2 linked regions of the Arabidopsis thaliana genome follow. The protein of the gene in region 2 interacts with the protein of the main gene of each other region in a pairwise test. Each region holds a gene or a part of one and is shown on either strand. Other genes may lie near its edges. The genes, in order: AT4G14480 and FLA14.

Region 1 (4,762 bases), on a different chromosome or scaffold from region 2:
ACACGCTGGAAACTAGAAATCACCTTTTTTTCTCTTGTGTTTACGCTTCAGAAATTTGGCAGGCTCTGACAAGGAACATCTATGGAGCAAAGTATACTACTCACTGGAATGACTTGATTGCAGCCACTTCGGGTCATTGGCAAGATCGAACAAAGCGGTTCATAGCTCACTATGTCTTCCAAGCAACGATTCATACTATCTGGAGGAAACGTAACAATCGGCGGCATGGCGAACAACCAAATCCACCGGTGCGTTTAATCCGATGGATAGACAAGCAAGTAAGAGATCGACTTTCTTCACTGAACACAAGCGGAGAAAGAAGACATGAGACGGGACTTCAAATTTGGTTTGCAACAAGAAATTTATACTAGTTTCTTTGATCTAAAATGTATTTAGCCTTTTTCAAACTCACGTTGCACTTGTTGTACAAAAGACATTTTTCTTTTGAATCTAATTTAACATTACATTAAAAAAAAAAAAACATTAAGTTTTTTTCTTTCGAGATGAAAGTGTTTGAAGATGCAAAATACAATCAAATTAGTAGACTATTAAAGTAAATTTGATTCTAAGAAGTACATCAGTAAATAGGGAATATGTATTTGTAATTCATATCAATTTTACATTTTGTTGTTGTGATTTTACTTTATTGTTCTTTATTAAATTTTATGAAGAGGAAATATTTATATGTTGTTTTGGTGAATATATAACTTGTTTACCAAAACTTAATTTGGAGCCATTCTAAACTGACAAATAAAACGAGTTAAATTGAAAACAATTGATCGTAATGTCATGCCACTTATATAATTTTAGCATATAGAAAAAAAATATTAACAAGTTTAGAATAGTTAACCCAAAACACTATCTTTATCAGCACGCAAGGTCTTTAGCTTCTCAGTTTCCAATTCAATCTTTAACTTCTCCACCATCTCTAGAAGCTCTTCTTCTCTGCTCTTCTCTTCCTTGTCCCCACTCAATGCTTCGATTATAATCGACACTCTTGCTCTTTGATGCTCTAAACTTTTCTTCAACACTTTCAGTTTCTCTAACACCAAATCTTTATCAAACCCAACAACCTCACCTTCTTGGTTCTTAGCTTCCTCGTTCGACAAACCTAAACCGAGTTCATACCCCGTTATTGTGACGTTATCGTCTTCCTTTTTGTCTTTTGATTGATCTTCTTCACGTGGACTGGACTCAGAAGAGTCTGATTCAGTAGCTGGGAACACTGGACTAAGTTGGAGATCGTCTTCACGGAAATTCCACCCACTGATTCTTCTATTCTTCACTATCTCTTCGTCTTCTTCTTCTTCTTCTTCATCATCATCTCCAACACTCTTGATCAAAATCTGACTCTCCATAAACATCTGCTCTGCGTTTGACAAGCTATGCAACACGTTCTTGACCACAAAGTCGAGTCCTTTACAGTTCTTGAAAAAAGGATGCTTCAACAACTTCTCTGCCGATGGTCTTTTAGTAGGATCTTGCTCTAGACACAAACCAACCATTTCTCTAAAAGCTTTTGAGAACTTCTTGTTACCCTTTTTGCTGCTTCCGCTCGTATTGATCTCGTAATCAGAAAAATGAAACCTTTTGGTGATCTTCATGAGCAGACTCTTCAACGGCGGTAAGTGAGATAACGGAGGTCTTCCATGTGCTAACTCCAACGCTGTTATCCCGAAAGACCAAATGTCTGCTTTGAAACCATACCCTGTGTGGGAATGAACCACTTCCGGAGCCATCCAATACGGTGTTCCCGCTATATCAGTTAACCTTAAAGAAGAAGATGTTGTTCCAGAGGAAGATGTCACGGGTTCATAGATGGATGCAGATACTCCGAAATCAGCGAGCTTCACGGATCCATCAGAATCTACCAGAATGTTACCTGCCTTGATGTCACGGTGCAAATGACCCTGATCGTGAAGATACGAGATTGCATTCAGAGTTTCCTTGAGGAAGACGGAAATGCAGTTTTCTGGTAACCCACTTGGAAAAGACGAAGAGACGATCGAATGAAGAGAGCCACAAGACATGAATGGCATAACCACCCAGAGACATCGATCAACGGTGAATGAACAATAAGCATTGAGAATATTCGGATGAGAAAGCAGAGACATCGTCTTGGTTTCACGGCGAAGACTGTCAAAGTCAGCCCGCGACTGATCAAGATCGATGGCTTTGATAGCAACTACCATTGAGTTCATCGGAATGCATATGGCCTTGTAGACCGAAGCACTAACACCAACGCCTATCTTGCAGATGATCTCGTAGGCTTCAGCATCAAGAGGGAACTCGAGCTTGTTCCGAGCCATAAATAGAAAGAAGATGAGTACACTCTTGCTTATTGAATTGTTATGTTTTTAGTGGAATTGTGGTCTTTTAGAGGCTAATAGTACCATGAGGCTATTCATATAGGGATGAAAAAAGAAAGAGTTGGTTTAGCATGTGAACTTGAAAAAAAAGAGAGCCTTTAATGTAAAAGCAAAACCCTTATCTCTTACTTAAAAATATGTTGATGAAACAATAAGATGAAGCATGTGAAAGAGCTAACTAACTAACCTTAGTTAATGAGATTTTACCTTTGGTCTTTCCAGGGACCCAAAGGGCAAACACTATCATTTCAACTTCAAACCGGTAAAGGTACAAAAATTAAATGGAGCTATGAAAATTTATTTTCATCATTTCACAGAAATTTAAAGTTCTAGATTTAGATATCTAGACTCGTTTTACAACTTTTTTTTCATGGCATTTCTGAAGAACTTGCATTTGCCTTTGACCACATGAGAAGGAAACAAAGACTAGAGAAAAGACGTCAGCCTTCTTGACATTTGGTAAAATGAATGATCAAGTATTCAAACATCAATATGCTAAGATAAAATCACAATGGAACAGAACTTGTTTTATAAGTCTTCAGGGATGTCCTTGAAACATATACTATAAAGTGGGCAAAAGACTTATGAAACCTACTTAAACATCAGCACTTCACTGTTTACTTTGTCTCACACGTAAAGCAAATGCAAGTAAATCAATGCAGTCAAAACTCTAAGCAACACAGCCAATCCCACAGCATTAAGGTCTACTTCATAAGAAACTTGTACCTGTCAGTATGTGTTTCTTATTCCATGAACTGAAGCTATACCAATAATCAGTGTGCACCATATCAGTTGGACACTTTGTCAATTCAACACATACACGCTTTAGCCTGAACTTTTCTTTGATCTGAAATATACTCACGAACTCTCTGAGTTTTACTTCGCATGGGCTCAATCATATTTTCTGTCTTGTGAATTATCTCTTTTGACAGATGACCCTCCAGAAAACTGAACAATGCTCCTAATGTCATCTTTCTTAGATCTGTATCAAGTTCATTGTTCATATCTTCTTCAACATGACAGCTTAAACCCTGCTCTCCTGAATCAGTAACCTCATCATTTTCAAAGCTCTTCAACGGCTTCTGATCCGCTTTCTTGTTCTTCCCTTTGTTCTTTCTGGCTCGATTTAGAACCATGTCCAATTCCAAATAAGAATCTCCAACAATATCAATCTTCTTGCTTCTTGTAGCCCTAGTAATCCTCTTCTCCTTTAAAGTCTCTACCTTCTCTACATTAACCACTCCCAAACAAGCTTTTCCTACACTTTCTTCAATCTTCTTGCTCCTCGTAGCCTTACTGCTCACTCTCTTCTTCAATCCCCTCCCTAAATTTTCCTCCACCATTGCACAATCCTCCATTTCAACCTTAATTAAGTTTACAGATGAACTCTGAATACTTTCAACATTCCTAAAGCTTCCATTTTTCTCCACCAGATCCTCTTGTAATCCATCAGTAATCCCTAATTTCTCCGAATCCTCGATTTTCCTAACTTTCCTAACCCTAGAACTCGGCTTGTTCTCAAATTTCACATCCAAACCCTTTTCTTCCTCAGTGATATCCCCCAAATTGATACTTTCTAAAACCCTAATTCGCTTCCTCGCATTAGCCTGACGCCTATTGTTCCTCGTAAGCTTCTTCTCCTGAAAATCATCAATCACAAAATTCACCAAAATAGATGTATACTCACCTAGTTTGATAACATCGCCATCTCCGAGATTTACCGACGTCTCTGGATCAAGAGCATTCGAATTCAATAAAGTACCGTTGGAAGATCCAAGATCTTGTATTACCCAATTCCCAGAATCCGATTCGATCCGAAGATGCTTAGTGGAGATTCCAGCGTCTTTAATTGCGATTTCATTACCACGAACGATTCGACCAACACGAATCGTAGATCCAGGCTTGTAATCTAGAGCATCGCCTTCTCTTGGACCCTTGACGAATACTAATCTCAACGATGGCGTAACCATTGTTACCGTTTCTCTCCCAAATGCGAATTTTGAAATTTTGATTTGTCTGACGCTCCAATTATTAATGGGCCTTAAATGGGCTTTTATCGTTTCGACGATAAAACAATTTCAAGGCTAAAAGCTACTATTGGCTAAACAACTGGCATTATTGATTACCCAAACTTCCAGCAACACACGTGAATCTCTCAGCAAACTTATCTCTCCCTTATCCACTTTTTTTCCAACCTTTTTCCCCTCACGCTCCTTTACCCTCGCGTGTATCTCACCTCATCATTTGGATATCCACTGTTAAAATTCCCTTTTATATTCGAAATCAACCAAATTTAACCTTACTCCTATAAATTAATTAGGCTCTTATCTACAATTGTTGCAAATCAACAAAACGTGCTTCTAATGCTAACACAATAATTGATTTTTGAGTAT
Region 2 (3,560 bases):
CTAGTTCTCGAACAATCTTTGTCGCCAATGTAATAATTGTTAATGTTTTTATACTCGTGAACTTGAATTGAGCAAAAACTTGTCAATTGGTGTATTAATTTGAATGTGATTGGTCGTAAAACAGGTTCATTTTGGTGCCACCAAGGACAGCCTTTCAAGGCATTTTAACAAGTTTGGTGAAGTGCTTAAAGCTTTCATAGTTACTGATCCAGCAACAGGACAACCAAGTGGGTAAGTTGTCTGAATTCATGACCCCAATTAATGTCTTGATATGTCACAGTTCAGTTATCGAGGATACCTTAGTGACCCAAGTTGATCGCCTTTTGCAGATCAGCGTACATTGAGTTCACACGCAAAGAAGCTGCAGAGAATGCATTGTCTCTGGATGGTACCTCTTTCATGTCTCGGATTCTCAAGGTAAATATTGAAGCCCGTGTTTAACTGTTTACCATAGCCAACTTATTGTGATCTTTAGGATTGGTTAGCATCTTAGTAGGATAAGGAATGAGTTTGTGTATATTTTGATGGATACAGATTGTGAAAGGAAGCAATGGACAAAATCAAGAGGCTGCATCGAGCATGTCATGGTCTCGAGGTGGAAGGTTCACAAGAGCCCCATCATACTTTAGAGGTGGTGCAGTTAGGGGTCGTTCTGTTGTTAGAGGTGGAGGCAGGAGTATGCAATGGAAGCGTGATTCAGCTGACACAGGAAACAACAACAATGTAGCTCCCAACAATGCTCGTAGTCTCACGTATGTCAGAGCAGAATCAAAATCAGACGGAGTTGCCAACGATTGATTGATTAGAAAGAGAAGCAAGAGCTTAGGTAAAACAAAGGAAGATGAGTTTTATCATCTACCTTATCGGATATTATTCTCAATTGTTTTTTTTTTTGGCTCTATAAAGCTACTCCAAAACTTTCACTTGTATTGACTTTCATGCTTCTTCAATCGTTTGGTTATTAATGAAAAAAGAAAGACAAAAAATATTGTATTTCAAGCTCTCATGGTGATAACAAGAGGAACAAGTTACCGAAACACAAGGCAACAACGCACAAGATGGAAACAACACGAGCTCTAACGAACAACAGATTGAGATTCTTAGCAACTTGAAGTGTCAAAGTAAGAATCTGCAGCCTACCTAACTCTTCCATCTTCTTGAAGAAGTACATTGGCTTCAACGATCTTCTCACCATCAACGCCATCGCAAACGGGAATCCGAAAGCTATACAGCTCTGAATTGTCATTTCCTTCATCGGATCTGCTCGAGTGGCGTATAAAATCGCCGCTCCAAGAATCAATTGAGTTAAACCCAAAGCACCCATAGCTCCACTTAGACTATACATATTCTTCATCATCCCTTCCAACACTTGTCTCGTCTCATTTCCTAACGCTGACAAATCGCGTTCCACAGTTGGTCCTTCGATCTCCTGGTGCTTCATCTTCTGCAGCTCCTCTTCCTTCGATTCCTCTGGCTTCTTCGGCTCGGTCTCTCCGCTTGGTGTCGAGAAATACCTCGGTGACCATGTTTCAGATCTAAGTTTGTCGATATTGAAAACAGAAAAGGATCTTAAGAGACCAAGCTCCTTAGTTACTGATCCGTGGATCAGATGGTTTCTTATGAGAGATGAGGAAGATTGGAGATGACGGCGAGAGACGTGGAAAGATGGAGAAGACAAGGGTTTAAGGAATTTTGAAACCAATCGACGAGAGATCATCATCGTCGTCGCCGATTTCGATGCAGAGAAGAAGCTCTACGTAATTAATTTAGGGTTTCTATTATTGCCAATTGTTTTGGGCTCATCTTTCACTTTCGGCCCAATCCATCAAATTATAGCTTCTAGCCAAGTCAACGGTTTAGATCAATTTTAACCGGTTCTTTGGTTTAGACTATCATCGATACTAACAAGATTTTGGCTCATGACCATTTACATTATCATCATCGCTCTATGAGATTACTCGTATATCCCAATGCATAGAACTCGATGTGCAACAAGTGGCTTACTCTAAAGTGAATTGAGCAATATAATCGGTACCTACAAGTGCTCTTAATCCAAGACAAAACACCAAGTTCCCACAAAGTTTGGAGAAACACACTCTCTTCCTCATGCCTATTCAATATAAAAGCCAAATGCCACCAAATTTTTTAAATAAACTCATCAAGCGATTCACAAGTCACAACAATGTCTTCTTCACTTACAATCTTCTTCTTCTTTTTTGCTTCCACATTCCTCTACACTTCATCAAATTCATTCAACATCACTAACATCTTAAACGAGCACGATGATTTCTCAAATTTCAACCAGCTTCTCTCCGAAACTCAGCTCGCTTCTACCATCAACAAACGTCAAACCATAACCGTCCTTGTGGTTTCCAACGGTGCACTCTCCTCTCTCTCTGGCCAACCAACCTCCGTCATCAAGAAAATCCTTAGCCTTCACATTGTTTTAGATTACTACGACCAGAAGAAACTCAAGAATCTGAGCAAGAAAACAGTACTCCTCACCACTCTTTTCCAATCTAGCGGTCTAGCCAGAGGCCAACAAGGGTTCTTGAACGCAACCGTTATGAAAAACGGAGACGTGGCGTTTGGTTCTGCGGTTCCTGGGTCTAGCCTTGATGCTCAGCTTCAAGACACTGTAGCAGCACTACCGTTTAACATCTCTGTGCTTCATATTAGTAGTGCTATAATGATTGATGTTAAAGGTGATAATGCACCTACTGCTTCTCCTTTGTCACCGGTATCATCTCCACCACGCCCTGCAGAATCACCTAATGATGATGGTCAAGATTTTGACGAGCCACCATCCTCTGCTCCTGGTGCTGCTGCTGATGAACCTTCCGAAAACGCCGGCTCAGCTAATGGAGTTTCAAGAAACGATTCTCAGCCCGCTTTCGCGTTTACGCTGTTGATGTCATTCATTTGGTGGTTCATGGCTCGACTTCGATGAGAAACAGTGTGCAAAGAACTAAACAGATCAGTTCAGGTTTTTGTAAGGAAAGCCAAAAAAAAAAGATAAAACAGACGCAGCTCGGATGGCTGCAAAAACATGAACACTAAAAAGTACGAAAAGATTTAGCTTGACAAGTTCTATGGGAAAAATAAATTGAGCGATACAATAAAGACAGAAAAATGTAACATTCAAAGTTCTTGGATATTATCTTTACTTAAGTTGTTGAAAGCACCTATTAGTTACAAAACACAAACTGCAAATTTTTGTTATTATTCAACGAGCCAGAAGAAACTAGAATATAGATCTTTATTAGTTTTTAGCTATGAAAGGTAAAAAGTAACCCAAGAACAGGAAGCACATTCATATCCATGTCTCTCCCCAAACCCTAACAACGAAACCAAACAAGTTTTCAAGACAAGGAAACAAAACTCAGGGACTATACATGTCGACTTGCTTAAAGAAAGCTTTGATTAAAAGCAAAAAAGCTTAAAAAGTGCAGTAAAATTGTTCCTTTCTCGAGTCAGTGGTGAAGCCCGTTTCCATTGCTATAGACATTGCCGTTCTGATGAACTTTCCCCATTGCAGATCCATTGGCTACTCCATTTTT

What was found.
Region 1: the proteins of FLA14 (region 2) and AT4G14480 interact in a protein complementation assay, tested with the Arabidopsis thaliana proteins (one large-scale study listed by BioGRID).

Annotation. Positions count from the first base shown.
Region 1 is NC_003075.7:8,329,236-8,333,997, forward strand, and holds AT4G14480 (Protein kinase superfamily protein), read right to left. Parts: upstream 2,630-4,762; 5' UTR 2,310-2,629; coding exon 846-2,309; 3' UTR 671-845; downstream 1-670. Other genes in the region: AT4G14490 (SMAD/FHA domain-containing protein), read right to left, coding at 3,179-4,339.
Region 2 is NC_003074.8:4,016,878-4,020,437, forward strand, and holds FLA14 (FASCICLIN-like arabinogalactan protein 14 precursor), read left to right. Parts: upstream 1-2,182; coding exon 2,183-2,950; downstream 2,951-3,560. Other genes in the region: AT3G12640 (RNA binding (RRM/RBD/RNP motifs) family protein), read left to right, coding at 1-29, 125-231, 330-417, 535-798; AT3G12650 (uncharacterized protein), read right to left, coding at 1,004-1,720; emb2742 (CTP synthase family protein), read right to left, coding at 3,474-3,560. UniProt on the Arabidopsis thaliana protein: May be a cell surface adhesion protein.